4 linked regions of the Tamandua tetradactyla genome follow. The protein of the gene in region 2 binds, or shares a complex with, the protein of the main gene of each other region. Links are inferred from orthologs where the notes say so. Each region holds a gene or a part of one and is shown on either strand. Other genes may lie near its edges. The genes, in order: CCNC, MED20, MED21 and MED26.

What was found.
Region 1: MED20 (region 2) and CCNC share a complex: the UniProt entries of both Homo sapiens proteins name them as parts of the mediator complex. The link is inferred for Tamandua tetradactyla from reciprocal best matches to the Homo sapiens genes MED20 and CCNC.
Region 3: MED20 (region 2) and MED21 share a complex: the UniProt entries of both Homo sapiens proteins name them as parts of the mediator complex. The link is inferred for Tamandua tetradactyla from reciprocal best matches to the Homo sapiens genes MED20 and MED21.
Region 4: MED20 (region 2) and MED26 share a complex: the UniProt entries of both Homo sapiens proteins name them as parts of the mediator complex. The link is inferred for Tamandua tetradactyla from reciprocal best matches to the Homo sapiens genes MED20 and MED26.

The regions. Positions count from the first base shown.
Region 1 is NC_135331.1:157,138,842-157,146,463, forward strand, and holds the start of CCNC (cyclin-C), read right to left. Parts: upstream 3,007-7,622; 5' UTR 2,724-3,006; coding exon 2,692-2,723; intron 1,889-2,691; exon of another isoform or gene 1,859-1,888; intron 1-1,858. UniProt on the Homo sapiens protein: Component of the Mediator complex, a coactivator involved in regulated gene transcription of nearly all RNA polymerase II-dependent genes.
Region 2 is NC_135331.1:99,518,304-99,525,993, forward strand, and holds the start of MED20 (mediator of RNA polymerase II transcription subunit 20), read right to left. Parts: upstream 3,022-7,690; 5' UTR 2,818-3,021; coding exon 2,804-2,817; intron 314-2,803; coding exon 159-313; intron 1-158. Other genes in the region: BYSL (bystin), read left to right, coding at 3,370-3,634, 7,054-7,216. UniProt on the Homo sapiens protein: Component of the Mediator complex, a coactivator involved in the regulated transcription of nearly all RNA polymerase II-dependent genes.
Region 3 is NC_135333.1:90,068,048-90,075,048, reverse strand, and holds the start of MED21 (mediator of RNA polymerase II transcription subunit 21), read right to left. Parts: upstream 3,006-7,001; 5' UTR 2,956-3,005; coding exon 2,914-2,955; intron 1-2,913. UniProt on the Homo sapiens protein: Component of the Mediator complex, a coactivator involved in the regulated transcription of nearly all RNA polymerase II-dependent genes.
Region 4 is NC_135337.1:95,127,173-95,134,442, forward strand, and holds the start of MED26 (mediator of RNA polymerase II transcription subunit 26), read right to left. Parts: upstream 3,015-7,270; 5' UTR 2,973-3,014; coding exon 2,901-2,972; intron 1-2,900. UniProt on the Homo sapiens protein: Component of the Mediator complex, a coactivator involved in the regulated transcription of nearly all RNA polymerase II-dependent genes.

The sequences.
Region 1 (7,622 bases), about 58 Mb from region 2:
CAGACATACAACATCAAATACTTAAAAAAATAATATTAAAGTTCAAACTTTCTATAGGTCTTGTACATTAGTTTTTTCTTAAGTACTTTATATTTTCTGTTGCTACTGTGACTGACATTTTTCTATCATTTATTTAGTAAAAAGCCTTTAAGTTTGTTTTGTAACTGATCACCTGAAATCTGTACTGTCTCTAACAACTTTCAATGAACTCAGTTTTCCAATTAATTATCTCTAAATATAATTTTGTTTTTATCTCATTTTATTAACTGCATTGACTAGCATTTGCAGAATGTTGAATAGGTACCCTAATTTTGCTAATGTTTCACCATTAAACTATCTCTTGCTGATGCTTTGCTGTTTTAATCATATTAAGGAAGCATCCTATTTCTGTTTTAGTAAGAAATTTAATCAAGAATACATGCTAAATTTTATTAAATGTCATTTTGTATTTTTAGAACATTCTTTTTTCTCCTTGATACATCTAGCAATAGTTTCTGGTCTACTGTTTTAGTTTTCCCTTTAAAAGAACCAGCTCTTAAAATCTGACCTCTTTTCCCCTTTTCAATACACTAGTATGTGTTAAGTCCTTCTTTCTGTTTTCCTTAGGTTTATATGTCAATTTTATTTTTAATAATCTTAAATAGAGTATTTGGCTTATTTTTATTCAGGATGTTAATTTTCTTGTAAAGTTCAGTTTTGGCTATGTTCCATAGATATGGATATATACTGATCTCATGTTATTTTCTAGATACAATGTAACTGTATTTTCAGTTTACTTTTTGATACAATAAAGTAACCAAATTTGGTTATTTTTGTTACCTGCTCATTTCATTTATTTGAGCAACCAGCAAACATTTATTTAGTGCCAGTTTCACAGCCGTATCATCAGAAGATGTGTTTTGCTCTACTTAAATTTTCTGGAGTAGAATGTGATGTGCTCTATTCTGGGATTATCATTAATTTTATCTCCACAAAGTCCTTTTATGAGATAAATTTCACAAAATCTTTAAAAAGTTTTCCCCTCAGCACTTTAAAGGGAGGAAAAAACAAATTAATAAATACTGTATTTCTTCAAATCAAGGATTCCATTCATTGTAAGACTCAGCATTATTTCATGTGCTACTAAAAAAATTGCCATGCTGATTTCAGAGATGCATGTCAACTTTCCTCTTTCACCAAAATCTTTGCTGTGTACCTAAAGCAGTGACTTATCATAATCCTGTTTTTCCAGACTTGATTGTCTTGTCTTTCATACTTGTCACCTTTTGCAGATCAGGGACTCCATGATTCTTAAGGGAGTTGAGTGAGGTAAAGAGGTTCCTTCCCCCAGGAATACTGAATTGGGAGGTAGGTACGGTTTTTAAAAAGCACATTTCACATTATAATTTTGCATCCGAGAAGTAAAAAACGATTGTTTTAATAAGGACAACAGCAAATAAAATCATATTAAGAATGCATATCAAAAAAGGGGGCAGGATCTACTTTTTTAAGTTGAAAAACTGCTCTAACTTTTCACAATCAACAGTTCTTTCAGCTTTCTTCAAAGTCTACAAAGTTTAGTAGACTAAACTTTCTATATTTTAACTTTGCCCAAGCAATTATTTCAGCGAGTGGAAAACACAAAATAAAAATGGCAACAATCAGAAGTGTAGCTCTTACAACATTTCATCTCCAATCGCTTTAGGATAAGAGAAAAACCTGCTTTTCTGAAAACAGTTTTCCAAGCCCATTGTTCCTTTTTTCCCCCTCTGTAAAGGGCCAAAAAAAGGGGGGAGAGGGAAATGAACAAAAAGAACTGATATTAGTCACAGAATCTTAAAGTTACAGTTCCTAATGCTAAGTACTAAAAATTACTTACTCTAAGATACATTTTTCTTTATCGGGTTCGGTTCATCTTTCACCTACACATGGAAAGTCTAATCAATGTTTAATAAGTCCATCATCCATCTTCCTACCTGCTTAAACAAATGTATTCAGAGAGAAATGTTTTAAATACTACTCTAGCTCTTCCAATGGTCGCTGACAGAAACAAAAACCTACTCATGAAAAAGGTTAATGAAATCGGCATATAAAATCACTGGAAAATATATTTATAAAACAAAATACAAGACAGACTAAAGAAACAGATACAGTTTCAGAGCACCTGCCCTATACCTTACCAGCATAAAACTCCATCTAGGCATAGAGTAGTGGCAGGAATCAATTAACGAGCAGAAACAAACTGGACTCCCTCCTCTCCTTGGAGTATTATTAAATCCACTCAAGAGAAGAGGGATAACGACTGTCCCATTCTCTGAGAGTTTCCAAGCAAAAGCGAGCATCACCTATCCTGAGGAGCCAGATTCACAGTCCAGAACTGAAACACACTTTCCATACATGTGCTCATACCATCCTATCCCCACGGGCCTAGCTAATCCAACAACCTTAAATTACACTCCTAACCATGCTTTCCGGGGATCGCTCCTAGACCCATTCTTCAGCTCACAGATCCTTCCCCCAAAACCCGGTCAGGGGGCGGGGAGAGGAGAGTAGCCTCTGAAAAGCGAATCCCGCTTCCGGCCGCTGCCACCTCTCGGGAAGACCTTGCCGCGCTTGGGCCAAGAACCGGGATCCAGGCTGCGAGAAGTGGCAGGCCCCATCCTCATCGCCCTCCAAAAGCGGACCCTGGGCGGGAAAACCGAGAACACTTACTAGTGGGAGCTCTGCCAAAAGTTCCCAGCCATGGAACACAGCTTGCCCTGATAAAAAAACACCAGCCGGCGGAGCGGCCCGCGGAGCGACCATAGACCCAGCCCGCCGGGTAACCGCACTCTTCTATCTGATCAGCTCGGCTCCGCTCCGCGGCGGCTACGGCAAGAGGAAGAGGACGGCACCTTGTTCTCATAGATGCCGGCCGACAACACGCTGCTGCGTAAACGCGTTCCTAAGGACAAAAGTTCCGGCCCGCCCCATGGTAGCGGAGGAAACCGGCGGGGAGGAGACGACATGTGGCCGCGCCGGAGTTGGTATTGGTGCTTACGAAGGGTCACGGCGGACGGAAGGCTCTCGCGAGAGCTTCATAGATTCGGGCCTAAAGCCTGTAAGGTTGGCGCTTCTGCTAGGCTAACGTGGGAGAAGCGTCTAGCTCTGATTGGTTAGTTTATATCCAAAGCCTACAGGACCTCTCGATGTTATTGTAATAAAGCACGGTAATTTTCTAACTAGATTTTAATCCCCCGCGGGATTGAAAAGAGAAATAAATGAATTTTGTTTTGGCTTCACGGACCTACTAAGACCCGCGGGCATCAAACCCCATGCGTTCTTAGTGGAATTCTTGGAGTGATAAAAGAGCAAACTTTTAGAGCAAGTGTTTTCTTCTTATACCTGAGACCCACCAGTTTTGCAGAACATCCCCAAACATTTTCATATATATGTGCATTAAAGAGAAATACTGCAAAAAAAATGCAATATTTTATAAGATGAAATAAAATCATGTTTCTTTATTTTCCTTTTCTATTATCATTGTAACATTGCATTTATTTCAAAACTAATTATTTTTCTAAATAATTGGACACACCTGGAAGTTGTTCATAGAAGACCAGTTTTCCGAGGCAACTTAGACATTTTTCCCACAGCGTGAGAACAAATAAGATGTGAAATTATTTTAGTGAATGTGGCACACACTTTTTTAAATTAAGTAGAATAGAAATGCTCACAGTATGTCAGAAATAAGAAAGATAATTGTCATTTTACAATTTTTTATTCAATTATGTATAGACATATGTAGTGCTCCAAGATGTGAAATGCATATATTACTGTGTGAGTTAGTCTGGATAAACTAGACCAGGCTAAAATGTGGTAACATCCTTCCCCCTTTAGCTCAATGATTTAACATAAAAGTATTTTATATGTGACTTCCATAAAGTCTCTTTTTATATGTGACTTCCATAAAGTGAGTGAGCTTGCCCTTCTTGGTGGAGTCCTCCAGATCTTCAGGGAACTAGTCTGTTTCTATCTTACAGCTGTTCCATCTTTTTATTTTATTTTATTTTTTATTTTTTTAAATACCAAAAAACACCAAGCAAATGCAAACATTCCTTTTTTGATCATTCCGTTCTACATATATAATCAGTAATTCACAATATCATCACATAGTTGCATACTCATCATCATGATCATTTCTTAGAACATTTGCATCTATTCAGAAAAAGAAATAAAATGAAAACAGAAAAAAAATTTATACATCCCATACCCCTTACCCCTCCCTTTCATTGATCACTAGCATTTCAAACTAAATTTATTTTAACATTTGCTCCCCCTATTATTTATTTTATTTATATTCCATGTGTTCTACTCGTCTGTTGACAAGGTAGATAATAGGAGCATCAGACACAAGGTTTTCACAATTACACAGTCACGTTGTGAAAGCTATATCATTATACGATCATCTACAAGAAACATGGCTACTTGAACACAGCTCTACATTTTCAGGCACTTCCCTCCAGACTCTCCATTACATCTTGAATAACAGGGTGATATCTACTTAATGCGTAAGAATAACCTCCAGGATAACCTCTCAACTCTGTTTGGAATCTCTCAACCATGGACACTTTGTCTCATTTCACTCTTCCTCCTTTTGGTGGAGAAGATTTTCTCAATCCCTTGATGCTGAGTCTCAGCTCATTCTAGGGTTTTTCTCAATTCTTGGATGCTGAGTCCCACCTCATTCTAAGATTTCTGTCCCACGTTGCCAGGAAGGTCCACACCCCTGAGAGTCATGTCCCATGCACAACTCCTCCATCTTGACATTCTTTGCTTTCAGGCTTATAATCTATCTAAAGAAAGTATGCAACCTTTAATCAAAAACAACACAGTCACTTCCTCCAACAGCTCATTGACCAGAATAGGCACATGACTCCAATTTAACTGCAAAGGAGGCTGAGAAATGTAAAGGATCATGTAGTATATGTGATGAACATTACTGTCTGCTACACTGTGGATCATAGTAAAAAATTTTGTAAGACACTGGTTTAAGAAACACCAGACCATAGGCTGCTTCAAAAAGGTTGCAGCATTTCTTCAAATATCTTAGAGTTTTTTCCTTGGCCTGGCATCACCAAAAAAATATTAATAATATATTATTTATCAGTATTATTAATCTTTAGGCTCCTATTAGACTTTGTTTCTGTCACTGGACTACCACTTGATTCTGTTCTTATTCACAGATTAGGGTGTATATATGTCTATTCTATGGTGTTGGATGGCAGCCTGAAAGACTGGTGCTCTTCTCTGTCTCACCCAGAACTCAATCTAGATGGAGAAGCAGCAGGCATAGCCACTGAAACACTTTAAGAAAATCAAAGCACGTCTGCTTGAGGCAAAATATTATGCAGATGAGATAAACAATTGAGCTTCTGGGCCTGGGAGGAAAGGATGCGAAGGATTTCCTGGGAAAGAAGGACATTTGAAGTGTCCATTTATATGGGGGGATGTACAAGGCCCTGCACACTCACAGGGCTAGATACGTGCTCAGAAAAACCTGACAGGACCCAAAGCATCTTCCTCAGACTCTTCTTTAGATTCAGGGCAAAGTTGGCTGAGTGTTGAAAGAGAGTCCCAGCATGAAAGCAATCTGCAAAGACTGGGTGAGGTGTATTTTTCTGTTATTTCTTTTGTTTTCTTGGCTCCCTTATGTAAGAAAATCTCCATATTTCCACAAGCTGAATATAAGCTAAAGGAACAGAGATTTCAATGACTTTACATGTCAAAGAATATAATTTTTGCATGGTTTGGAAAAAAATCCCTAAACACATAATACTACAGCCTTCAGTATTAATAAGAGGAAAAAAAAAACCTAGAAAAAGGGGAGAATAACTCTGATTTCCAGAGTTAGCACATTAAAAGTTCAACTCCAGATTACAATGAGAAATCAGAAGACATAAAAGAAACAGGAAAAGGTAGCTCATTCAAAGAAATAGAATAGAGTGATAGAAGCCATTCCTGAGAAGTTCAGATATTGGAACTACTACCAAAAATATGTTGTCAGCTATCCTCAATAAGTTCAATGAGCTAAAGGAAAATATGAAAAAGGAACTAAAAGAATTCAGGAAAATGATAAATGAAGCAAAGGAAAAATTTGATAAAAATATAGAAATTATAAAAAGGATCTACCATTTGGTGGCTCCTTAAAAAATGAAATACCGAGTTGCCCTATGACCTGGCAACTGAAAGCACTGACACAAACAGACATTTGCACACCAATGTTCATAGCAGCATTGTTCACAATTGCCAAAGCATGGAAACAATCCAAGTGCCCATCAACAGATTAATGGATGAACAAAATGTGGTATATACATACAATGGAATATTTATACAGCAGTAAAACAAAATGATGTCCTGAAGCACCTGACCAGATGGATGAGCCTGAGGACATAATGCTAATGAAAGAAGCCAGACACAGAAGCATAGTTAATGTGTGATTTCACTGTTATGACCTTGATAAAGGTAAACTCAGAGGCTTATAATACAGAATATAGGGGACCTAGAGATACATGGAAGCTAGAGATGGGTGAACAGTTAGCTGGTGAGGTTGAACTTAAATGTAAGGGAATGGATAGTAGTGAAGGCTGTTCATAAGTGGGTCTGTAAGTGATATTGCCATATTGAAGGTGAACGTGATTGAAAAAGGTTGGATAGAGCCATGTATCCCACCAATTAACACTACAAATATAAATAAGTTTTTGCATGAACTACTGCAGAGGTATGAATCTTGTACAAAAAGTTTATAATATCAGGAAAACTACTATTGCATGTTATAGGCTATATTTAACAGGAAGACATCAACAGTACACAGCAATACCAGGGGTAAATATTTGGTGGGGGGGGGGGGGAAGGACAAGAGTTAAGGGGAGGTTTGGATTTTCTGTTTGGTGAGAGTGTGTTTATTGGTTATTTTTCTCTTGGTAGCAATGGAAATTGTCCAAAGTTGAAACTGTTGATGATCATACCAGTACGTGATGACAATGCAAGAGATGGACTGTTGACTTTAGACATTATACATGATGCCCAATGGATGGAGGTGGCTGAAGGATACACTGAGAATGGAATTGTAAACTATGCTGTAAACCTATGATCAAATATTGTACTGCTGCAGAAAGGAATGAAGTTATGAGGTATGCAACAATGTGAATGAGCCTGGGGGACATTATGTGATGCAAAATAAGTCAGAAACAAAAGAGCAAATATTGTATGGTTTCATTTAGAAAACAGTTATAAGAAAATTGTTATTTTTAGATTTTGAGAGGCTGTGCTATGTATATGTATAACATGGTATTTCCCTAGAACTTTCAGTACCTGTGTAACAACTAAGACTCAGGAAAGGAGTTCTGTGATGTGAAAATCAGCATTGCCACATACAACAATGGTTAAGTAAATTGAAAAAGAGATCAGGCTTCAGTTAGAGATAAGAATGAAGCCAATCAGGTTGGGAAAAAGTGGATCAGAATACAGGGGTAAGGAAGACATCATCTATATTTTAGAACTTCACCTACTCTATAGGACCAAAGCAAGAGAGATTTATTTTTCCCAAAACCTAATTTTTTTGTAGCCCCTAATCTAACTTAACCTATCTGGACAGATCATTT
Region 2 (7,690 bases):
TTCCCAAAAAGAAAACAAAATAGCTCCAGTCTAACAGATGAAGAAACAACAACTTAAAGAATTCAGAAACACAACTAGATCAGAAAGACTTTAGTGAACATGAATGTCCATCAACGCCAAGCCAGGTTGCAGCCATCCTACAGTGCAATCCCACTGACCTTGGCTGCCAAGGGTGGAAGCCGCCGTATGGTAGGTCTCACAGTCCACACAAAATGTTCCTTGTTTCTCTGCTCCAAGCATCTCCAATTTCCGGGTGAGGAGCTCCACAGTCTGCTGGACACTCTTGCCCTCAGCCACAGGCATCTGGGACACACTGGAAGGAAAAGGACCAAATCATTAGCATCCAGAAACACACATGCACTAGTATAGCCATTCAACAAGCCAACTGCTCACTCACAGCATCACAAGTCATCAGGAGTTACTTTAGAGACCACTCCACTCACGTGACTCTTAATTTTAAAGATGAAGAAACAGAGGCCCACAGTCTCTGAGAGTTCCTCTAGGAACTACAGCACAGGTTTCAGGACTCATGTACCAGTACAGTGAACTTCCCATCACACCAACATCTACTGATGTTAACTGTGCCATCATGCAAGAGATGTTAGGCTGAGTATTCAATAACACTGAATCACATAAAACAAGAGATTCCCTTAGTAATTTTTTTCAGTTCTAAATATATCAAGGAGAAAGTCTCAATTTGATTTAGTACTTTTTTCTTTTTTTTTTTTTTTACATGGGCAGGCACCAGGAATCGAACCCGGGTCCTCTGGCATGGCAGGCAAGCATCCTTGCCTGCTGAGCCACCGTGGCCAGCCCGATTTAGTACATTTTTACTAACTCTAACACTTTCAACTTATGTTCTTCAGTAGAGTAACAATTAGCCACATCTGGCTATTTAAATTAATAAAACAAATTAAATGAAATATTCAGCTCCTCAGTAGCACTGCCCAGATTTCAGGGGATCAATAGCCACAAGTGCATAGTGGAAAATGTTGATATGGAAAATTTCTATCATCTCAGAAAGTTCTATTTGACAGCCTTGAACAAACAGAAAGCAGAGTTCAAATTTATAATCTTTGGGAGTGGGAGGCAGTGGCATCTACAAGAATTTAATAATGCAGGAAAACGAAACATGTTATTTCCAAGATTTCCTTCTACTTGAGGGTGAGTGAAACTGGCTTCCCCTTTAGAGTAATAGATAACAAGTACCTACCATGTGCCAGACAGTGTACTTCAGGTGAATTAACTCTAAAATGGGGACTTCAGATGAATTAACTCTTCCAGTCCTCACAACAACCCTATAAGAGGTGTTATTATTTATCTCCTTGCTGCAAATGAGTAAACTGAGGTACAGAGAGGTTAACTAATGAGCCCAAGGTCAGACATTCTCTCTAAGGATGTAGTTGCCTGTTAAATAACATTTAAAGGAATAAACTTAAAAGAAAACATTAGTACCTAATAGTATAGCTGGTAACTAGCTATGGCAAAAATCATGAAGACAATCATATGCCTGTACTTTGGTAGACAATGCATTACTTTATGATCAATCGATTAAACGAAGCTAATAAGTTAGAGTCCTACTGCCGCTAAAAATTGTCACTACTATCTCTCAGAAAAAGCACGGTTATATAATAGTGATGTGACTTAATTTTACACAGAAGAGGATCCTAAAAACTAATGCTACAAGGATAAGTTCTAAGATTCTGAAAAAGTTGGAAAAAGATAGAAAGCACAACAGATAGAAAGGCCTTTCTCTCTGGATGCTTTCTCTTTTGAAAGACCAGGGGTTTCCAGGATTTCAAGCCTCTGTGCTGTGAACTTTTTATTCCCATCACTCACATATCTCCCTAACACCAGAGGACTCGAAGATCCTCTCGAAGGTCTACCGTGAGAAGCTAGGGCACAATCAGACAATCCTGTAAGAGCCTGAGTTACAAGAAAAAGCATTTCCCACAGGTTGTTATATGAGAAGTCAAGAGCCACTAACTTCGGATATCCCAGTCCCCAGTTCTCTCTGACAGGAAAGATGTGCACACCTGAAGACATTTTTTTTTAATGTCCTGAAACCTAACATTTTGTAACTAACACCTCCAAAATATTAGACCCACGCCTTTCCCTATCACCTTGCCTTCTTCCAACTGTGGCTTATAACATGTTAGAGAGAGAAAGCCCATAGAAAGTAGAACCTTGTAATTTAACATAGCAGGAAACAGGTCCTGTGAAGAGGTGAAGCAACTGCAACTCCATCTCCTAATTTCTAATAGTTTATTTTATATAATGGCCAATGTAGAACCAAACACTTTTTGTGGCTGTAGGGAGGGGCAAGAGAGACCTAAAAAAAAAAAAAAAAAGGCATTCTACTCGTTGCCTGACCACCACTTTCTTCAGCCCTGCTTGCGGACGGGTCCTGGTGCGGATATCCTATCCCCAAAGCTGAAGTACTCCTAGCAGTACCATAACATAAGGTGCAGGAAAATGTACGAAGAAAAAAGGAAAGGAGGTACACAACCACTGATAGGCTCCTAGGATTAAAAACTCCTACCTGCCCCCCCCCCCCCCAAAAAAAATCTTACCTGCTGCCTTCCAGGAGAAAGGAGCTTATCTCCGAAGAAACAGACCCCGAGAACCTGCAACCTTCGCGGGATCCCCTCACCCATATAACCCAGGGGCATTTTGTTCAGTTCCCTCAGGGTGTCGGAGAACCCCGGTCCCGCTACACCTCTCGGTCCAGTCAGGCTCCAAGGGCAACTTCATGATCCCAAAACCCGTCTCACAAAATCCCAAGTGGTCTGTGCAGTCTTACCAAGTCACTCCCATGGTGTCGGATGAGAGGGTGGCAGATTCAAACAGCTGAAACGCGGTGCTCTCCGACCGCCCACATTAAATGAAGCCCCCAAAAGTAAGCTTCGGTCGAGGGAGAAGGCACCGGAAGTTATATAAAAACAAAGCGTCCCATGGATGCGCCAGGAGGGTACAGAGACGTGCTTGGGCGCTCTCACCGTGACGTATGCAGAGACGTCACGCAGCCCAGTGACAGCTTCAGGCTTGGAAGTATGGACGTCCTATTTGGCTGGATACCCAGACTTGGATCTGCGATGCTTGGAAAGCATGGTTCGAACTGCCACCACTTACAGCAGTCATCGTTAAATGCAAAGAATTTATTCAGGATTTGAATTTATTCAGGGCCCGTGCGAACTTTTAGGGAGTGGAGTTGGGTGTCGCTGACGGCATTTCTGTCCTCCAATCACTCGGGGGCGCTGTGCTCTCCGCGCGGCCTGGTAGGCTTTGGAAGTTCACTGCACAAGCGCACTCTCGGCTGCTCGCCTCTGTCCCCACGTGTGAAGGTTCGCGGCCACTTTTTCGAGAAAAATGCCCAAATTCAAGGCGGCCCGGGGAGCCGGGGGTCAAGGAAAACTTGCGCCCCTGGCCGAGCAGATCCTAGCTGGGGACGCAGTGCGGGCCGGGACCCGGGAAAAGCGGCGGAGCCGCGGCACCGGAGAAGAGGAAGAGTATGTGGGGCCCCGACTGACCCGACGAATTTTGCAGCAAGCGAGGCAGCAGCAGGAGGAGCTGGAGGCCGAGCATGGCGCTGGGGAAAGGCCCATGGGGCCGAGGGAGCGCACCGCGCGGCTGGGTGAGCGGCCGGGAATGGGGTGCGAGGGAGAGAGTGGATACTTGGATGAATGGCTGAAAGGTGTCCGTCAGGGGAGAAGCTTGGAGTTTTGAAAAAAGTGCCCATATTACGCTCTTTAGAAAGTAATGGGATGGGAGACCGAGCCCTGAAGCGGATTTAAGGTGGTCCAACCCCACCTCAACCCACCCCTGCCCACTCCTAGTTTTAGGCAGTAAGATTCTAGGGGTCCTAGGCGCCCCTAAAATTAGGCCAGCGGGATGTGATCGCTCATTATCCATTAAATTGTCCTGGTATTTATCCACTTGCTCCATAAGTGTTTATAAGGAAGTTTGGATAATTTGGGTACAGAAACGAACAAGTTTGACACTGTCCTTTCCCCTAAAGCCAATCTGACCTCTCTACTACTTTCTGCGCTTGCTCTCTCCACTCCACCCCACCCAGCCATATAGCTTCATTGTTCCTTGAAGTTGGCAGATTAGGGCCTTTTCCCTGGTTGTTCTCTCTGCCTAGCATGTTCAGTTCCTATACACCTGCAGGCTTACTTGCTTAATTCTTCACCTTTTCAAAGAGGACTTTTCTGACCACTCTATTTAAAATTCCAGTACCCACATTCCAGTTTCAACAGTCCTAGCAGCGCTCCTTTGTCTCATTTTTTTTTTCCATTCCAGTTGTCTTCTTTTGACCCAGTGTATTGATTTGTTATGTTTATTTATGATCTGTGTCCCCCAGTTAAAATGTACCAGAGATTCTACGAGGACAGAAATTTGTTTCTCTTGTTCACTGATGTATTCCCAGTATCCTGAACAGTGCCCTACATATAGGAGGCATCAATGTTTGCTGAATGAATTGATTAAAGAAGGATGGTGAGGTACATAGGAGCTTTTGTAGACCTGGAGGCCATACCAAGATTTAAAGCTATCTAACATTGATCAGACCAAATGTGTGGTTCCAGAAGTTTAGATTGGCTGTAGAGTAGAGAATTTGTTGAAAGAAAGCAAGGTCAGTAGCATGGAGACTAGTTAAGGGATTGGTGAATGAATCTAGCAAGAAATGATGCTGGTCTAGGTTTAGAAAGGGCTGTGAAGGATTTGAGAGATACTCCATGAGGTAGAATCGAATAGGACTTCGTAATTGATTGGGTTTGCAGGCTGAGAATATGGACAAGGCAGGGCTGGGAGGTAGTCACCACAGTAAGTGGTGCAGTCTTGGGGAAAAGAATGAGTTCACTTGGTGACAGATGAAGTGCCTGGGTCATCTAAGGAGGGTACAGGAGAAGCCTGGAGTTAGCATCTGGATCTAAGAAGAAAGTATGGATTTGGAAGTTGTTGACATGTGAGAACAAAATATTTGTGTATTCCCCCTCCCCCCACCCTAATTTTAGTTCTTTCATCACACAATGCTCTGTTCTTAATGATCTGTTCCTATGTAGTATTTTCTCTCCTCGATTGGATTAGTACCCCTCCTCCCAGATGCCCACCAACCTCTAGTCTTCAAAAAATCAGTTACTCAAATTGGTTGTTGGATTGAAATAACTCCACTGCCTCACCTCTTAAGACTCTCCACAGTCTGGCTTCAATTTACCATTGTAGCCCTATTTCTTGCCACTACCTAACACAATCGAATCAGTCCCACGTTGCCAGGAAGGTCCACACCCCTGGGATTCATGTCCCACGCAGAGAGGGGGAGGGTGGTGAGACTGCTCGTCATGTTGGCTGGAGGGAGAGGCCACATCTGAGCAACAAAAGAGGCTCTCTTGGGGGTGACTCTTAGGCCTAAATTTTAAGTAGACTTGACCTATCCTTTGTGTGGGGTTAAGTTTCATATGAACAAACCCCAAGACTGGGGGCTCAGGCTACAGCTTTGGTTGTCCACACTGCTTGTGAGAAGATCAAAAATTCGACTTGGGGAGGTTGAATTTCTCCCTGCTCTCACCATTCCCCGAAGGGGGCTTGAAAATACTTTTCCACTCACTGATCAAATCACTCTGGGATTCATCGGGGCATCACTCTGGACAAACCAACAAAATCTCACATCCTACCTGAGATTCCAAGTACTTATGACGTTCAATCAAACTATCTACATAAGTTATATTAGGAAATGCTCTAGTCAAGATATAAATTTTGTAACAAATAAACATTTTTTGCTTTAGTCTCACACGTAAAGTGACATTTTAAAATATTAATTACCATCTATTTTCAGCACCCTGCAATAATGACATTCCTTTATTCTTCCTCATGCAAAAACATTTTTAAAATTTGTACATTGTACATTTCACTATTGTTATACACTCTAGGCATTCCTAGATTATACTATCTCAATCTTTAACATCTATCTTTCTTTCTGATTTCATTTATGTCCCCAGCCCTCCTCCCTCTATCATTTCCACATGCAGCTTCATTCAGTGTTTTAACATAATTATATTATAGTTAGCTAGTATTGTGCTGTCCATTTCTAAGTTTTTGTATCCAGTCCTGTTGCAAAGTCTGTATCCCTTCAGCTCCAATTACCCAATATCTTACCCTATTTCTATCTCCTGATGATCTCTGTTGCCAAAGACATATTCCAAGTTTATTCACTAATGCAGTTCATATCAGTGAGACCATACAGTATTTGTCCTTTAGTTTTTGGCTAGTCTCACTCAGCATAATGTTTTCAAGGTCCATCCATGTTGTTACATACTTCATAAGTTTATTCATTTAAAATCATGTTTTCTGATTCTTTTTCTTTTTTCGCATGGGCAGGCACCGGGAATCAAACCCGGGTCTCCAGCATGGCAGGCGAGAACTCTGCCATTGAGCCACTGTGGCCCACCCATCTAACAGACACTCTTGTAACAAAGTTCCATTTGCTAGTGTCGTCTGTCAGGTCTGGAACACCCTCCTCCAGCTCCCGTACTGCCTGTCCAGAGAGCCTGATTGTCCTCAGTATTCACCTAAATGTCTATGGTATACTGTCTCTACTACTCATTTTGGCATATGATCAAGCTTTCCTGTGCATGTCAAAGAATACGGACTCTATACCCAGATTTCCTTCCCTAGGCAGATTAACTTTTCTGTGCTTCTGTGTGTCCGTCTGCAACTGGATATAATAATAGTACCTATTTCTTAGGGTTCTGAAGGTTAACCAGGTAACATATGTACAGTGTTTAGAGCAGTTCTTGCTACATAACTGGGTATGTTGTGCTAAATACTATTTATTGGTGTCACTATCTCATTGTTTCATGTGTGTGCTTTTTTTCTTCTCAAGCAAGATTGTAAGCCCCTAGGGACAGGAAGATAGTATGTGCATCGTCTGTTCCACTGCACTCATCTATATTTCTTATAAGCACTTGTGAGGCTTATAATAGATAGTGTCAAATTTATTCTACATCCTTTGCCCTCTCCTTGCTATGCCCATCCATCTCTTCTCCCATTTTCTAGGTCCAGGAGTGCCACAGGATAGATCGGATGATGAGGATGAGGAATGGCCCACCCTGGAGAAGGCTGCCACAATGACAGGGGTGAGCCACCATGCCGAAGTGGATGTGGACCCTGAAGACGAGCGTGCCATTGAGATGTTCATGAACAAGAACCCTCCTGTTAGGTGGGTCTGGCACATCCTTGGATTTGGGATAGTGGATCCTGGAGGTGGATTCTCACAGGGAAACAAATGCCCTGGTGACTTTTGATTCCCTATCTTTGGAAAGGGCCTGACATTCCCAGGTGTGAGGGACGACTTTAACAAAACTGGTCCATCTTCAAAGGGAATGACCTAGATTTGGAATACATCGTCCCTCTCTGTGCACCTGTTCTGCAACTGTCCCAGCTAGTTGGGAAATTTCTCTGGGGAGTTATGTCCCATTGCATTTGGTCTTGGTATGCTCAGTTTTCTTAGTGGTGAGCTCAGTTTTCTTGAACAAATTTCTGTTATATCTTGAGTTTCATTAAACCCAGGATTTTTCAGCTTCAGCCCTATTGGCATTTGGGCCAAACTATTACTTGTTGTGAGGGCTGTCCTGTGCAACATAAAATGTTTAGCAGCATCCATGAGCTCTACCCACTAGGTACCAGTAGCCAC
Region 3 (7,001 bases), on a different chromosome or scaffold from region 2:
CCAATTAATTAACAATATTAATTAACATTAACAGAATGAAGGGAAAAAAACATGATCATCTCAATCGATGTAAAGAAGGCAACTGACAAAATCCAGCACCACTTTATGATGAAAACACTCAGAAAGCTAGGAATAGAAGGAAATTTCTTTAACATGATAAAGGACATATATGAAAAACCCACAACTAATATCATATTTAATGAGGAAAAACTGAAAGTTATCCCTCTAAGATCAGGAAAAAGACAAGGATGCTGGCTGTCACACTGATATTCACTATTGTACTGGAATTTCTGCCAGAGCAAATTAGTTAAGAAAAAGAAGGAAAAGGCATCAAAATTGGAAGGGAAGATGTAAAACTTTCTCTATTTGCAGATAACATGATCCTACATACAGAGAATCCTATAAAATCTACAACAAAGCTCCCAGAGCTAATAACTGAATTCAACAAACGTGGTCGGGTACAAGATTAACACACAAAATCTAGTAGTGTTTCTATAAACTAATAATGAATAATCAGAAGAAGGAATCAAATATCTAGGAATAAAGTTAACCAAGGATGTAAATGAATTGTGTATAGAAAACTACAAAGCAATGCTAAGAGAAATGAAGGAGGACCAAAATAAATGAGAGTATATTTCATATTCATTGACTGGAAAACTAAATATTCTTAAATGTCAACTCTACATTGACTTACAGCTCAATGCAATCCCAATAAAAATTTCAACAATCTTCTCTAGGGAAATGGAAAGGCCAATCATCAAATTATATGGAAGGTTAAAGTGACCCCCAAACAGCCAAAGCAATCTTGAAAAAGAACTAAGTTGAAGGACTCACACTTTCTGATCTTAAAATTTTTTACAAAGCCACTGTAATCAAAACATCTATGGTACTGGCACAAGGACAGACATATAGACCAATGGAATCAAATTGAGAACTCAGAAATTAATCTTCACATCTATGGCTAACTGATTTTTCACAAGGGGGCAAAGACTACTCAATCAGTTAAGAAGAATCTCTTCAACAAATGGTGCTGGGAAAACTAGATCTCTATTTACAAATGAATGAAGATGGACCGCTATCTCACACATCATACAAAAATCAACTCAAAATGGATCAAAGACTTAAATATAAGAGCCAGAACTATAAAACTCTTAGAAGAAAAAACAGGGAAGTATCTTCAAGACCTTGTATTAGGAAATGGTTTCTTCAACTTTATACCCAAAGCACAAGCCACAAAAGAAAAAACAGATAAATGGGACCTCAACCAACTTGAAAATTTTGTGCAAAAGACTTTATCATGAACATAAAACAACCTACCCAATGAGAGTAAACATCTGGAAACCACATATCCAATAAGGGATTAATATCTGTAATATATAAAGAAATCCTTCAACTCAACAAATAGACAACCAATCCAGTGTTAAAAATAGGCAAAAACTTGAATAGACATTTCTCTAATAAATAAATGGCCAAAAATCACATAAAAATATACACAACATCATGCGTCATCTGGGACATGCAAATCAAAATCATGAGACACCATTTTACACCCACTAGAAAGGCTTCTATTAAAAAAAAAAATCAAACAGAAAATTACAAGTGTCGGAGAGGAAGTGGAGACACAGGAATACTCATTCATTGCTGGTAGGAATGTAAAATGGTGCAGCCACTATGGGAAGACAGTTTGACAGTTCCTCAGAAAGTTAAGTATAGAATTACCATATGACCCAGCAATTTCACTACTCGGTATATATCCCCCAAAAATTTAAAGTAGGGATTCAAACTATTTGTACACCGAAGTTCATAGCGTCATTATTCATACTTGCCAAAAGATAGAAACAATCCAAGTGTCCACCAACTAATAAATGGTTAAACAAAAGCGGTTTATTCACACAAATGAATTTTATTCAGAATAAGGAATGAAGTTCTGATACAGGTGATAAAACTGATGAACCTTGAAGACATTATGCCGAGTGAAATGAGCCAGATATAAAAGGACACACATTGTATGATCAAACTGATATGAAATAATCAGAATAAGCAAATTCATAAAGTTAGAATCCAGAATACAGGTTACTATGGAATGCGGTGGAGGTAGAGAATAGGGAATTAAGGCTTAAACTATAGAGGGTTTCTATATAGGACAATGCAAAAGTTTTGGTAATGGATGGTGGTGAAGTTAGCACAACATTTTGAATGTATAAAAGCAATGAATTAGATATCTAGTAATGTAATTAAAACGGGAAATGCTATGTTGTATACATGTGGTTAATTTTTTTTAGTTCAAGGAACTGCACAACATAGTAAACTGTAAGTTAAGCCATCGACTACAGTTAATAAATTACAAAAATGAGCTTTCGTTAACTCTAACAAATGAATCATACCAATGCAAGTTTTTAATAAAAGTATTTAATACGGGAATCCTGTATTTTATGCATGAATCTTCTGTAAACTCACAATTTCTTCATTAAAAAAAGGTTCGAACACCAAGAACGGGTCGCCTTGGTGTATTAGTACCGATAACGGAAAAAAAAAAAAAAAAGATCTGCTTCCTACCCCCCTCTTCCGCCCCCTTAGAAGAGAATCCATAAACACCACTGACAAGAAATAAAACTTCTCAGAAAATTTGACAGGACCCTGGAGCACAAGAATCATAGTGGACTGCTGGGAAGGAGAGAGATCCTACGCTTCCCCTTCTCACTCTACCTGTTCCCTCCAGGAGCTCTGCGCAAAGCCCCCGCTGCCCGCCTCAATCTTCCCAGAGTTCCGAGGGGCCTCCTGCCATCCTACACTTTATACTGAGGCACCGCCTTCGTCCGTCCCCACGTCCAGGTTTATTTCTCGGGCCCTCTTCCTCCTTTGCTTTACCTTAGGAAAGGGGTAGACAGAGACAAATCTAAAGAATCCACTCACCGAGTTCACAGCATCTTGCAGCTGCGTGAGCCGATCCGCCATGTTGATGGCTCACGTAAAGCGACGCTGCAGCCTCTGCTCGTGCGCGATTGGGCGGCGCTAGTCGGGTCTTGGCCAATCACAGGGTGAAGTTGTCAGAAGAGGTGGAGTCGGAGTGCTCTCTGGGCAAGACTTTCTCAGATTAACTTTAAATTGATTCAGCTGGAACTCTTTTTGAGGAACTTGATGACAGTTCGGAGTCCGATTAGCTAGTAGGGCTGAAACTCTTCTCGAGGTTGTTAGGTGTTAAACACTTTGTGGCGACTATGGGACTCGGTGGGGGGCGGGGGTTTAAAGCATTTTTTTCTACCCTCCGCCACCATGTTTTAATTTTATAACAGCGTCTTAGACTACTTATTTTACGTTACTTTTATTTTCCAGGTGGACCATAAAACATATACCCAGCATGCAACTCCAAATACTTGGGAGTCACGATACCGACTTTAAACTCAGAAAATCCAAAGTAAAATTCACTAGACAACCGGGAAGTTCTGGTTGGAGTCCCTCCCTTGTTGTGTAGGGTCACGGAAGGGCTTAGCGAACTGGAGACTGGGTGCAAGCTGTTCGCGTTAATTCAGCGTGTGGGTGTACTGGGGAGTCTGACGCACGTGAAATGGAAACCGTCCAAAACAACTGAGTACTAGGCTGTATTGACTGTTAGAAAAGTACCGCGTAGTGAGATCTCCATGGGCTAAGGTGAGGCGTGAGAGAAGAGGAGGGTCGGTGGAGAGGAACATGGAGGTTTTACAATGTGTAGTCAGAAGAGGAGAGTTTCCTGGAAATAAGCGAGATTCATAGGTTGGGTAGGTTGCATTTTTAAAAGATACTCAGCGCAATTTAGACTCAGAATAGAGACCTATTTAAGTGTGAAGAGAGCTAATGTAAATTTGTTATTTAAGGAAAGTTATCCTGCAAGGGCTTGGGGGATAGCCTGAAAAGAAATGAGCCTAGAATCAGCAAATAACAGCTTTGTGGACTTTGAATAAACTCAGATACCGTCTTTCTCAAGGATTAGGCTGATTATCCCTGATTACCCTCCTAGGGTTGGAGGAGGGTGGGGGAAACAATCAATTGGGTAACTCTCTTGCTGGATTTATCCCAACCCTTGCTCGAGGGCTCGTCTCTGACTTTTCCTGGCATCTCACTCTCCATCCCTAAGCCTTCAAAGTTCCTGTTGGGGCTTTATTAGAAAGTAGGTGAGGCGACTCTTTCAAAATGGGGCTAATGAGCGGTGACTCTAGTTTGTTAAGAATAGTTTGGGGGGAATCTGTGACTTTTTTTCTCCTACCTGGTACAATACATGTACCTTATTGAATGCCTGCCGTGTGCCAGATGTGTATGTTGGGCGCTGAATTTTCAAAGATGAGTAAACCAGGGACTCATTAGGAGGAAGATTTTGCAGTTATCCAAGAGTGGGATGAGTTAAATTTAAATTAGGATTTTAATTCTGGTAAATGAAGAAAGGAGGCTAAAACATGTTTTTGAGGAAAATTTAACATGGATTGGTGATTGGTTAGATAAGACGGGATAAATGAAAGAATGCACTAAATGAGAATACTGAGTTTTTCAGCCTGACTCATGAGAACTTGGGCTCCTGGAGTAGAGGAGCCTCTTCAAGATAACTCATATTAGTACACACCTTGCTTCTAGATTTTCAGTTGCCTTGCAGAGACTACAGGTTGAAGACAACTATTTCTACCCGATTTTCAAGGTTTGCTGTAATCCAGCTCCAGCAAAGAGATCCAGCCTCACCTCCCAATCATTTTCTGAGTGAAATAAACCTCTGCTTCAGTCAAAGCCCCTGAATCCTTGTTTTCCCCAGTTTTTTTTTTTTTTTTTTTTTTTTTTTTGGCCATGGGCTCTGTTTTATTTTTCCAACTGCTAAAACAAACAGCATACAATGGGTTGGATCAAACAACAAGAATTTATTGGCTCAAGGTTTTGAGGCTAGGAGAAGTCCCAGATTGAGCATCAGCAAGGCAATGCTTTCTCACTGAAACTGTGGCATTCTGGGGCTGGCTTGTCTTTTCTCTTCTGACCTGTGGCAAATGCACATGGCAGCATCTTCTCCTTTCTCTCTGGGTTCTGATGTTTTCCGGCTCCTGTGGCTTCTTTTCCATGTCCAATTTCCTTTGCCTTTAAGTACTTCAGCCATACTGGATTAAGGCTCATTCAGTTCAGACACACCTTAACTAATAACAACTTCTGAGGTCCTATTTACGAATGGGTTCCCACCCATAAGACCAAGAGTTGGAATCTGAACATGTCTTTTGTGAGGAGGACGTGATTCAATACCTAACAGGCTCTTTTTTTTTTTTTTTTATGCTACATAACCACATACAAACACAAACATTCTTGTCATATGAACATTCCATTCTTGCTATATAATCAATAACTCACACTTTCATCACATAGTTGTATATTCATCATCATGATAATTTCTTAGAACTCCTGCATCAATTCAGAAAAAGCAATAAAAAAAACAGAAAAAAATTCATACATACCATACCCCTTACCCCTCCCCTTCACCAATCACCAGTATTTCAATCTACTAAATTTATTTTAACATTTGTTCCCCCTATTATTTATTTATTTTTAACCCGTATGTTTTACTTGTCCATCGATAAGGTAGACAAAAGGAGCATCAGACACAAGGTTCTCACAACCACACAGTCCAACTGTGACAGCAGTATCATCATATAGTTATCTTCAAGAAACATGGCCACCAGAGCACAGCTCCACATTTTCAGGCAGTTCCCTCCAGCCTCTCCATTACACCTTAACTAAATAGGTGATATCTATTTAATGTGTAAGAATAACCTCCAGGATAACCTCTCGACTCTTTTTGGAATCTCTCAGCTATTGACACTTTGTCTCATTTCGCCCTTCCCCCTTTTGGTCAAGATTTTCTCAATCCCTTGATGCTGAGTTCCAGCTTATTCTAGGATTTCTGTCCCACGTTGCCAGGAAGGTCCGCACCCCTGGGAGTCATGTCCCATGTGGAGAGGGGGAGGGCAGTGAGTTTGCTTGCTGTATCAGCGGAGAGAGAGAGGCCACATCTGAGCAACAGAAGAGGTTCTCTTGGGAGTGACTCTTAGGCCTAATTTTAAGTAGTCTTAGCTATCCTTTGCGGGGTTAAGTTTTATGTGAGCAATACCCAAATTGGAGACTCGTCCTATTGCTTTGGCTGTTCCCACTGCCTGTGAGAATATCAAGAATTCTCCCCTTGGGGAAGTTGAATTTTCCCCCTTTCTCACCATTCCCCCTAGGGAACTCTGCAAATACTTCCCTATTCACTGTTCAAATCGTTCTGGGATTTATCTGGGCATCACTCTGGCAAACCTACAAAATCTCATGAACAGCCTCCTTTTTAAAAAAATATTTTTATTGAGCTATCTTCACACACCATATAGTCCATCTAAAGTATACAATCAATGGCTCACAATATTGTCACATATTTGTGTACTCATCACCATGATCATTTTTTAGAACATTTGCATCACTCCAGGAAAAGAAATAAAAAAGAAAAACCATAATCCCCATACCCCTTACCTCTCCATATCACTTACCACTAGTATTGCAATGTACCCAATTTTTTAACCCCTTATTCCCCTTTTATTATTTATTTATTGTCATTTTTTTACTCATCTGCCCATACCCTTGGAAAAAGGAAGCATTAGCCACACGGGTTTCACAATTACATGGGCACACTGTAAAAGCTGTATAATTATATAGTGCTCTTCAAGAATCAAGGCTACTTCCAATGTTCTGGAGCAGCTAGAAGGAAAAATCTGAGATGATGGTATGGTAGCCCATGATAAACTTTGGGATGCTTTGAAAACTGCTTTTTTTCTTTGCTTTGTTTATGTGTTATACAATATTAAAAACAGTTTAAAAAAAACTATGTTGTAAACAGCTATACGTAAATAATTCTTGAGGAAGATCTATCAGCAGGCATGTCTACTGTCATAATGCTATTAAAAAGCAACAGCTTTCTTACCCTAAAAAAAATACACTGTGAACTAAAAAGGGATATCTATATAATGCAT
Region 4 (7,270 bases), on a different chromosome or scaffold from region 2:
TGGGAGAAGAAAAGAAGTGAAACATGCCCCAGAGCCTGCATTCTAGTCAAGAAGAGAGAGCTCGTACTTGAGTGAAACAACAGCTTTGGAGACACACCAATGCCCCATCACCTGCTGAGGACACTGGGCTCCGATGGCCAGTGGACACACTGTGGCTTCTGGGCAAGAGAACGACAGGACCCTCGACTCCATTCACAAGCAGGAATTAAGCTGGGACAAACTGCACGCTGCACGGCTGAACATTTTCAGCGCTCTAGGTTAACGCACAGCCCGAAAAGAATAAGGCTTCAACCGGTCTGAAAAACTGAGAACTGCTTTTTGAAAAAGAGTGCTGAGGATTTACTTTTTCTGAGTGGGCAGGAAAGTATTAACTCAGAGCCTGCTGCTGTAGAAATTCAAATACTCCAGAGGCTGGAATTTAGAACAAAAAACAACTTTCCTCATAGGAACTCATGAAGAAGGTAGTCAGGAAATGTTACTCTGTTAATTCTTGTTTCTTCCCCAGCCTTGCAGATACTTATGGATACTAGGTCAGCTGTCCAAGGTTGAATTTTCAAGCAAAATCTAAGTTTCTTAACCATAACTGTGTGTCCATAAAGGTAAACATTATATGACACAATTTTCATCACTTCTCACAGAAGAGGTTTAATTTTAGTGTGGGCTCTTCAACACTGTCCCCATTTTTTTTTCCTACACACATCTTAAATATGTGTCAACCACCTATCCAGAACTGAAATTCCTAATTGGGCAAGACAGCCACGTGGCAGCCATGCCGAGGCTGGGACCCCCGCTCCCGCCCATGTCCAGGCCAGCCGGGAGGTGCTGCAGGCCCATGGACACACCAGGCCTCCCCACCATCCCCTCAACCATCTCTCCAGGGCTGCGAAGTTTCTGCATGGGGCTCAGGCAAAGCCACATTGTGGTCGAACCCAGTCACTGATAACACTTAAAACAGCCACTTCCATCGAGTTTCATGGGTTCAGAGACACAACTCCCCAACCCCATCCATCACCCTAGGACTCAACCATGCTATGACCAGAGTCAAAATCTGAATTCCAAACCTCACAATGCAACCGCAGATCTGTATAAATATAATGTTTATGCATATGCCAAGGCACACGAAATTAAGGTTCACTCTTTCTCTCCGCCCCTCGTTAGCCCCTCTCCCTATACTCTCCCAATCTGTGCTGAACCCTTTAGATTAGAGCCTTACAAAACAGTGGGGCCCCTCCAAGGTCATGGGCACTGATGTGCAGCGTCATGGCCCACATGTCCTGAAGCACCTCCTGACCCTAAGCTCTCCTAGGTGGCATTAAGGGTCAGCGCTACCATTTTAGCAGCCCCTTCTCTCCCGAGAGAAGCAAGCACATGAAATTCAAGAAATTACACTCTGGCTTGACAAAAGATGCAAAACTCACCAAAGCTACATTTTTCATGTCACTTGTTTTTAATATTTCAGACTTAAGAACCGCAGTAGCATCAGTTACTGCAAAAAAGGACATTCTGGAAGGTTTTATATAGCTTGTGCCTACTCCACCCCCAAAGTCATAACAAAACCGTACACATTTGCTTGAGACAATTTATCAGCAAGTCAATCTTAATGGGACCTGAAAAAGAGGGATAAGAGAATGACTTAAGACACCAAAGTCAGAGCCTTACAAAGACCATAATCCCTCAACTTCTAGCAAAACTGCACAACTGAGTGTGAATTATTCCCAAACTACCAGACCAAAACACACTGCTGAGAAGAAGTGGCCAGAGTCACAAAAGAACAAGAACTCTTACAGGGGAGAAAACAGAGTTACTTGGCCAAGCCCAAGATGATTTTCCTTCCATCTCCAGCCTACCACACAGTAATCTCAATGGCCACTTCCTAGTCTGCCAGCAAACGCAGAAGTTCAGTGCATCCTCCCACTGCCCAACCTGCACCTGCTCCAGAGAGAAGTGCCCCCTCTGCCAATGTGCCTCGGGGAGCACAAGGAAGAGCACAGCAAGTCCCCCCACACCCCCCCCCACACACACACACGGAGTAGGGGGTTACCTCTGCAAAACAGTAGCCTCTGGGGAGGAGCAACAGAGAAAGTGACAATCCTGAGACAGAGGTCACAAATCACCGGGCTGGGACCCCCAGGTTGGGGGAAAGGGAGGGGACCATGAGAGAAAACCACCACCCCTAATTCACCCCCAAAAAGCAGAGCTCTGGCCAGGTCAGTCAGACCCAGGAAGGCCACAGGAAGAATCCCACCTTCCCCAAGATCATCTTCCCACAACAACAACCCGAGAGGGATCCCACAAAGGCAGGTCCAGTCACAAAACGGAAGGGGACTCTGCCAGGGCCTGGGCACCAGGCTAGGGGCAAAGCAAGGAGGGAGGGGAGGAGAGGATTCCTTCCGAAAACAAGAAGGTACTCCCAAGCGTGAGGAGAAAGGACTTCTCTGATCACCCAGAAGGCCGACACAGGGCAGACACGGGCACCCCGAGTCATGCCCAGGACACCAGTTGCACCCAGACTGCTTCCCTCTCATGCCCTCACAGGGAGGGCTTCTCGGGGGTCTCAGATCCCAGGGTGAAGGCGAGGCGGGTGAGCCGCGTCCAGAGCAGCGAGGGTCAGAGAGCTGGAGGAGGAGGAAAGGCCGAGCTCTGGCGTCAGCCCCCGTCTGCTCCCTCCGCCCAGGCCGCACGGAAGCCTCGGCCTCACGTACCGAGCGCCGCCGGGCTGCCCGATCTGTCCCTGGCCTGGGCTCAGGGGGGCGAGAGGCCGGGATGGCAGCGACCGTCCGGGGGAGGGGGGCGCCGGGCGGGTCCCCCGGGGCCGGGCGGGCGAGGGGCACGGGGGAGGGGGACGAGGAGGGTCCCAGGCCCACGCGGCCTCGGTCCCGGCCCGCGAGGTTGGTACTCACGTTGCTCTGGGGGTCGATGGCCTGCAGCAGCCGGTCCCTGATCTGCTGCGGAGACGCCGGAGCCGCTGTCATTGCCTGGGCGAGGCGGGGGGGAGCGGCAGGGCCGGCGGGCGGGCGGGCTGAGGCGGGGGCCGGGGGTCACTCACTCGCCGGCCCCCGGGAGCGGAGCCGCATGTTCCCTGCGGTGCCGGGGCACTGGGGACGCGCGGGGCGGCGGGGGAGGGGAACCGGGGCCGGGACTCGGGCCCGGGCCGCCGCCGCCGCCGCAGGAGGAGGAGGAGGAGCCGCCGGAGCCGCCGCCGACGCTGCCGCCGCCTCGAGAACCAAACTCCAGTGAGCTGCCCCCGCGCGGAGCACTGTGGGTAACCCGCGCCGTACGCAGCGTCGGCGCCACGCTGAGGAGGTTGGGAGATGGGGCGGGCGGAGACGCCGGGCCAGGGAGGGGCCGCGCGCTCCGCCCTGCCCTACGCGTCGGCGCACGCGCGCGCAGGCGCACTCGCCCGCCGCCTCGCCCCGCCCCGCCGGCCGGCCGAGGGAAGCCGTTGGGAGGCGGTTGGGCGGAGCAACGGCCACCGCCAGCAGGCCCCGCCCCCGCCCGGGCCGTCGGAAACGTTCGCGGCGTCCTGGCCGCTGCTCCTGAGGTGCCTGCGGCGGCGCCGGGCTCTGCCCGCCGAGCTGGGGGTGCACCAGCCTCTCAGAGCCCGGGCCGCGCCCCTGCGCCCCAGGCGGGGCTCTGCCACGCGGGCCGGGCGGGCTCTATGGAGCAGCACCGTGCCTCCGGCCACCGGCCGCCCCTTCCCCGCGCGGGACGGCCCAGACGGCTCCCGACGCTGCCCGAAGCGCCCCGAAGGAGGCTTAAAGGACCCCAGCGCCTGCCTCGCTGGGAGACGCCGGAGAACTGACGTCCTCGTTCCCCGGCCCACGCGTCACAAACGGGGCAGCTGAGGCCCAGGGTCGCCCAGCGGGCGCGGGCAGAGCGGCCCCGGGAGCCCGGGACGGCGGGAGGGAGGGCGGCCGCCTCGGCCGGCAGGAGCGCCGCGTCTGCGCGCGGGACGAGCCCCCAGCCCCCGCCGGCTCCGAGCGCCGCGCTCTGCGGGCCGGAGCTGGGCCTCCGGGGGTCGCCGGCCTCGCCCGCCAGCCCTGCCCGGGGTCCATTCCGCGTGCCTCTTCCTGGTTTCTAACTCAGATGAATAACAGCTTACACATGCATAGATAACGATAGTGCCGTAGAAGTAAACCTTTTATTTTGTGGGGTTCAAATTAAGAAATATTGGAGAATACAACTCACCTGCTCTTTTTAAACTAGGGAGAACCTTAACCGTGAACCTGCGTGAGGGCGCTGACCCGCCGCCCTATCCCCAGGGCACGTCGGAGACTCGGGTAGGTGAGTGAGCACGTCAGGAGCCCGTGACCGTGTGCATACCCACACACACGTGCACACCTTCGGTCCCACGGGCCTGGCGCAGCGAGACTCGATGAGTTTTTCGTGATGATTGTATAGATAAGACACGCGTGGATGCACACACGCACACACGGTTTTACTCCGCATTTAACATTTCACAGAGAAGGGGGAATAGATGAAATAAGACAGCCGCTGGACAGAAGTCCTGAAATGTCCGCTGCTTCTCCGAAGTTCAGGACGGACCTGCTTCAAGGAAGAGAGACTTCCAACGGCGCCTGTCAGTTATGCACAGGTGGGGCGTGATGTAAACCCTCTTCTGGTAATAGTTCTTCCCTGACCATGTGACCATTATTTAGGTACAGAGACCAGTGGCCCCAGTGTCCTGAGAGGACAAGATCTTTTGTGCTTGGAATGCCCCTGAAAGGGGGAGACGCCTCTTCAAGAGCAGCTCCAAGAAAGCAGAGCCCGTGGTTTGGAGTCCGTGACCGGCTAATGCCCTGGAAAGGTGGCTGTGGAGGAAGTTCCAGGAGCACGAACACAGGGCATCTGGAGACATACTTGGCAGGAGGGGACTGGGGCCCAAGCAGGAATCAGGAGATGCACGAGCAGAAGGGCACCCCGGCTGCCAGGGCTGCGCTGGCCCAGTCCTCAGCAGCGGTGCCACGTGTTGCCAGGAGCCATGGTAGGAGGGCACTCAATACTTCCCTCCTGCAGAGAGCAGGGCTGTGCCTCTCCAGACTCCCTCAGCCGGACCCTGGGAGCCCTGGGCTATTTAGAGGGGAAGTTACTGGACTTCCCCCAATAAGGCAAGGGAGGACACTGGTAACTAGTAGGAAAAATGTGCCAAAATATACTACCCCACCTTGACCCATGTCTGTGGCCTGACTTTAACAGAGTAGTTATCACTAGCAAGTAGAATGACAGGTGATTTTTACTTTTTCCTGTAATTCTATATTTTTTAGAACAAGCATGTACTGCCCCTATTCGTCTAGTATGTCAAGCGCTGGGACCAGCCCATGATCTCCAGGAGGTGTCACAGCTCTTACCACCTGAATCTGGCACTAATCAGAAAGCATGCCAATATAACCTCCAAAGTGGAGGTGATGGATTTGCTGTCAGGTTGACATCAATGAGTGTACACCTATATCCAAGCAGTTTGTGTCTTCCTTAGTGTGGAAGCCCCAATTGTGGGTCATTATTGTTAGTAATAAAGAAAATAAAAGCAAGGAGTAGCTTTTGTTAAGTACATATCAGGTTCTGCCCTGAGGACTTCACATGGGGTCCCCCAGGAAGCCCACTTCCCCGTATGCAGGCCCTGTGCCATCCACTCCCCTTGACACGGCTGGACCTGTGATTTGCTTTAGCCAAAAGAATGCAGTGGAAGCGATGCTCTGCTTGTTCCAGGCTAAAGCCATAAGAAGTTCTGGAAGTTACCACCTGACCCAGCAATCCAACTCCCAGGAATCCTACTCAAGAAACCTGAAAGCATCCACACACAGAGACTTGTATGCCAGTGCCTATAGCAGCATTAGTCACAATAGCCAAAAGGTGGAAGCAATCCAAATGACCATCAGCAGATGATGGACACACAAAACGTGGTCTGTCCATTCAATGGAGTATCAATTAACCATAAAATGGGGCCAAGTTCTGGTCATGCGATGACATGGATGAACTTTGAGGACATGACGCTGAGTGAAAGAAGCCAGACACTGAAGGACAAATATTGTATGCGTCCATTCAAACAAAAGATCCAGAACAGGCAACCACAGAGAACACAGATGAGAGGTTACCAGGGGCTTGGGGGAGTCAGGTGTGGAAAACACTGCTTACTTGGTGAGTGGTTTCCATTTGGGGTGATGAAAATGTTCTGGAATTAAGATTTTAATGAGTGTTGCACAATTCTGAACATACTAAAAGTCACTGAAATTACACTTTAAACGGGTAATTTTATGGTATGTGAATTATAAATTGTGAATTAAAAAAAGAGAAGGAGGCCTTGTCACACCAAGGTGCCTCGTGAGAATTCTGGAGAATTCTGGGGGGCCACATAGCAAGAGGGGGAGGCCTGGGCTTCTGTGGAGCAGAACCAAGGAACCAGCTGGCCACAGGGACTGAGCCGTCCTGCCTACAGAACCAAGCCTAAGCAAGGGCTGTTTTCAGCCACTTAATATTGGAGGATTTGTAACACAGCAATAGATAAACCAAAACACAGTTACGACCGCATCCTCCAGTTACAGGTGAGGAGAAGCCTGAGGTTTACAGGTTACTTAACATCCCAAATGCAGCTGGGATCCCATGGCAGATCTTTCTGAATCAAAACTGTGCTCTCTGGCCCAAAGGCTGTGCAACTCCTGCTCCCTCTCCTCTCGACTTCTCTTTTGTGATGTGTCTTGGGCATGTTCCTTTTGCCCCTCACCTGTGCTGTGCCTGGTCTCACCTGCTTGGCTTCCCCAAGCTGCTGCATGGTTGGCATCATCTTGCTCCTCTGTTCCCAGAGCTCAGCAGCCTTGCACCTTGCCATGTCCGAGCACTCTGTCTACCCTGTGAGGCCCTCTCAGCCACAACCACTGCCACTTTTCCGGATAGACTTCTATCTCACCACCCATCAGTAGGTTTTCTCTGCTCCTGTCTCGCTGGATACCCAATCATCCAACTAAGTGACTTGGATTCTGGATTTTGGATGGTGACTGCAATGGGCCAACATCTCAGCGTTCCCAGATGTCTTGGGAAAAACACAAACCAGTTAGAGGCACTCCCCAACCCCACCCCTGACAGCAGACACAGAGAGGGGCTAGGGGGCTGATGCTGAAAAACAGGAGATGCCACAAGGGTGGCGCAGACAGAAGCAAAAACTAGAAGAGCCTCAACTGGCCAGTGGAACTTCTCAAAACTGAAGGTGGGAATTGCATCCCAGTGTGAAAAACAATACGTTGGCAGGGAAGGTAAAGTGCTCCCACAGGTGTTCACA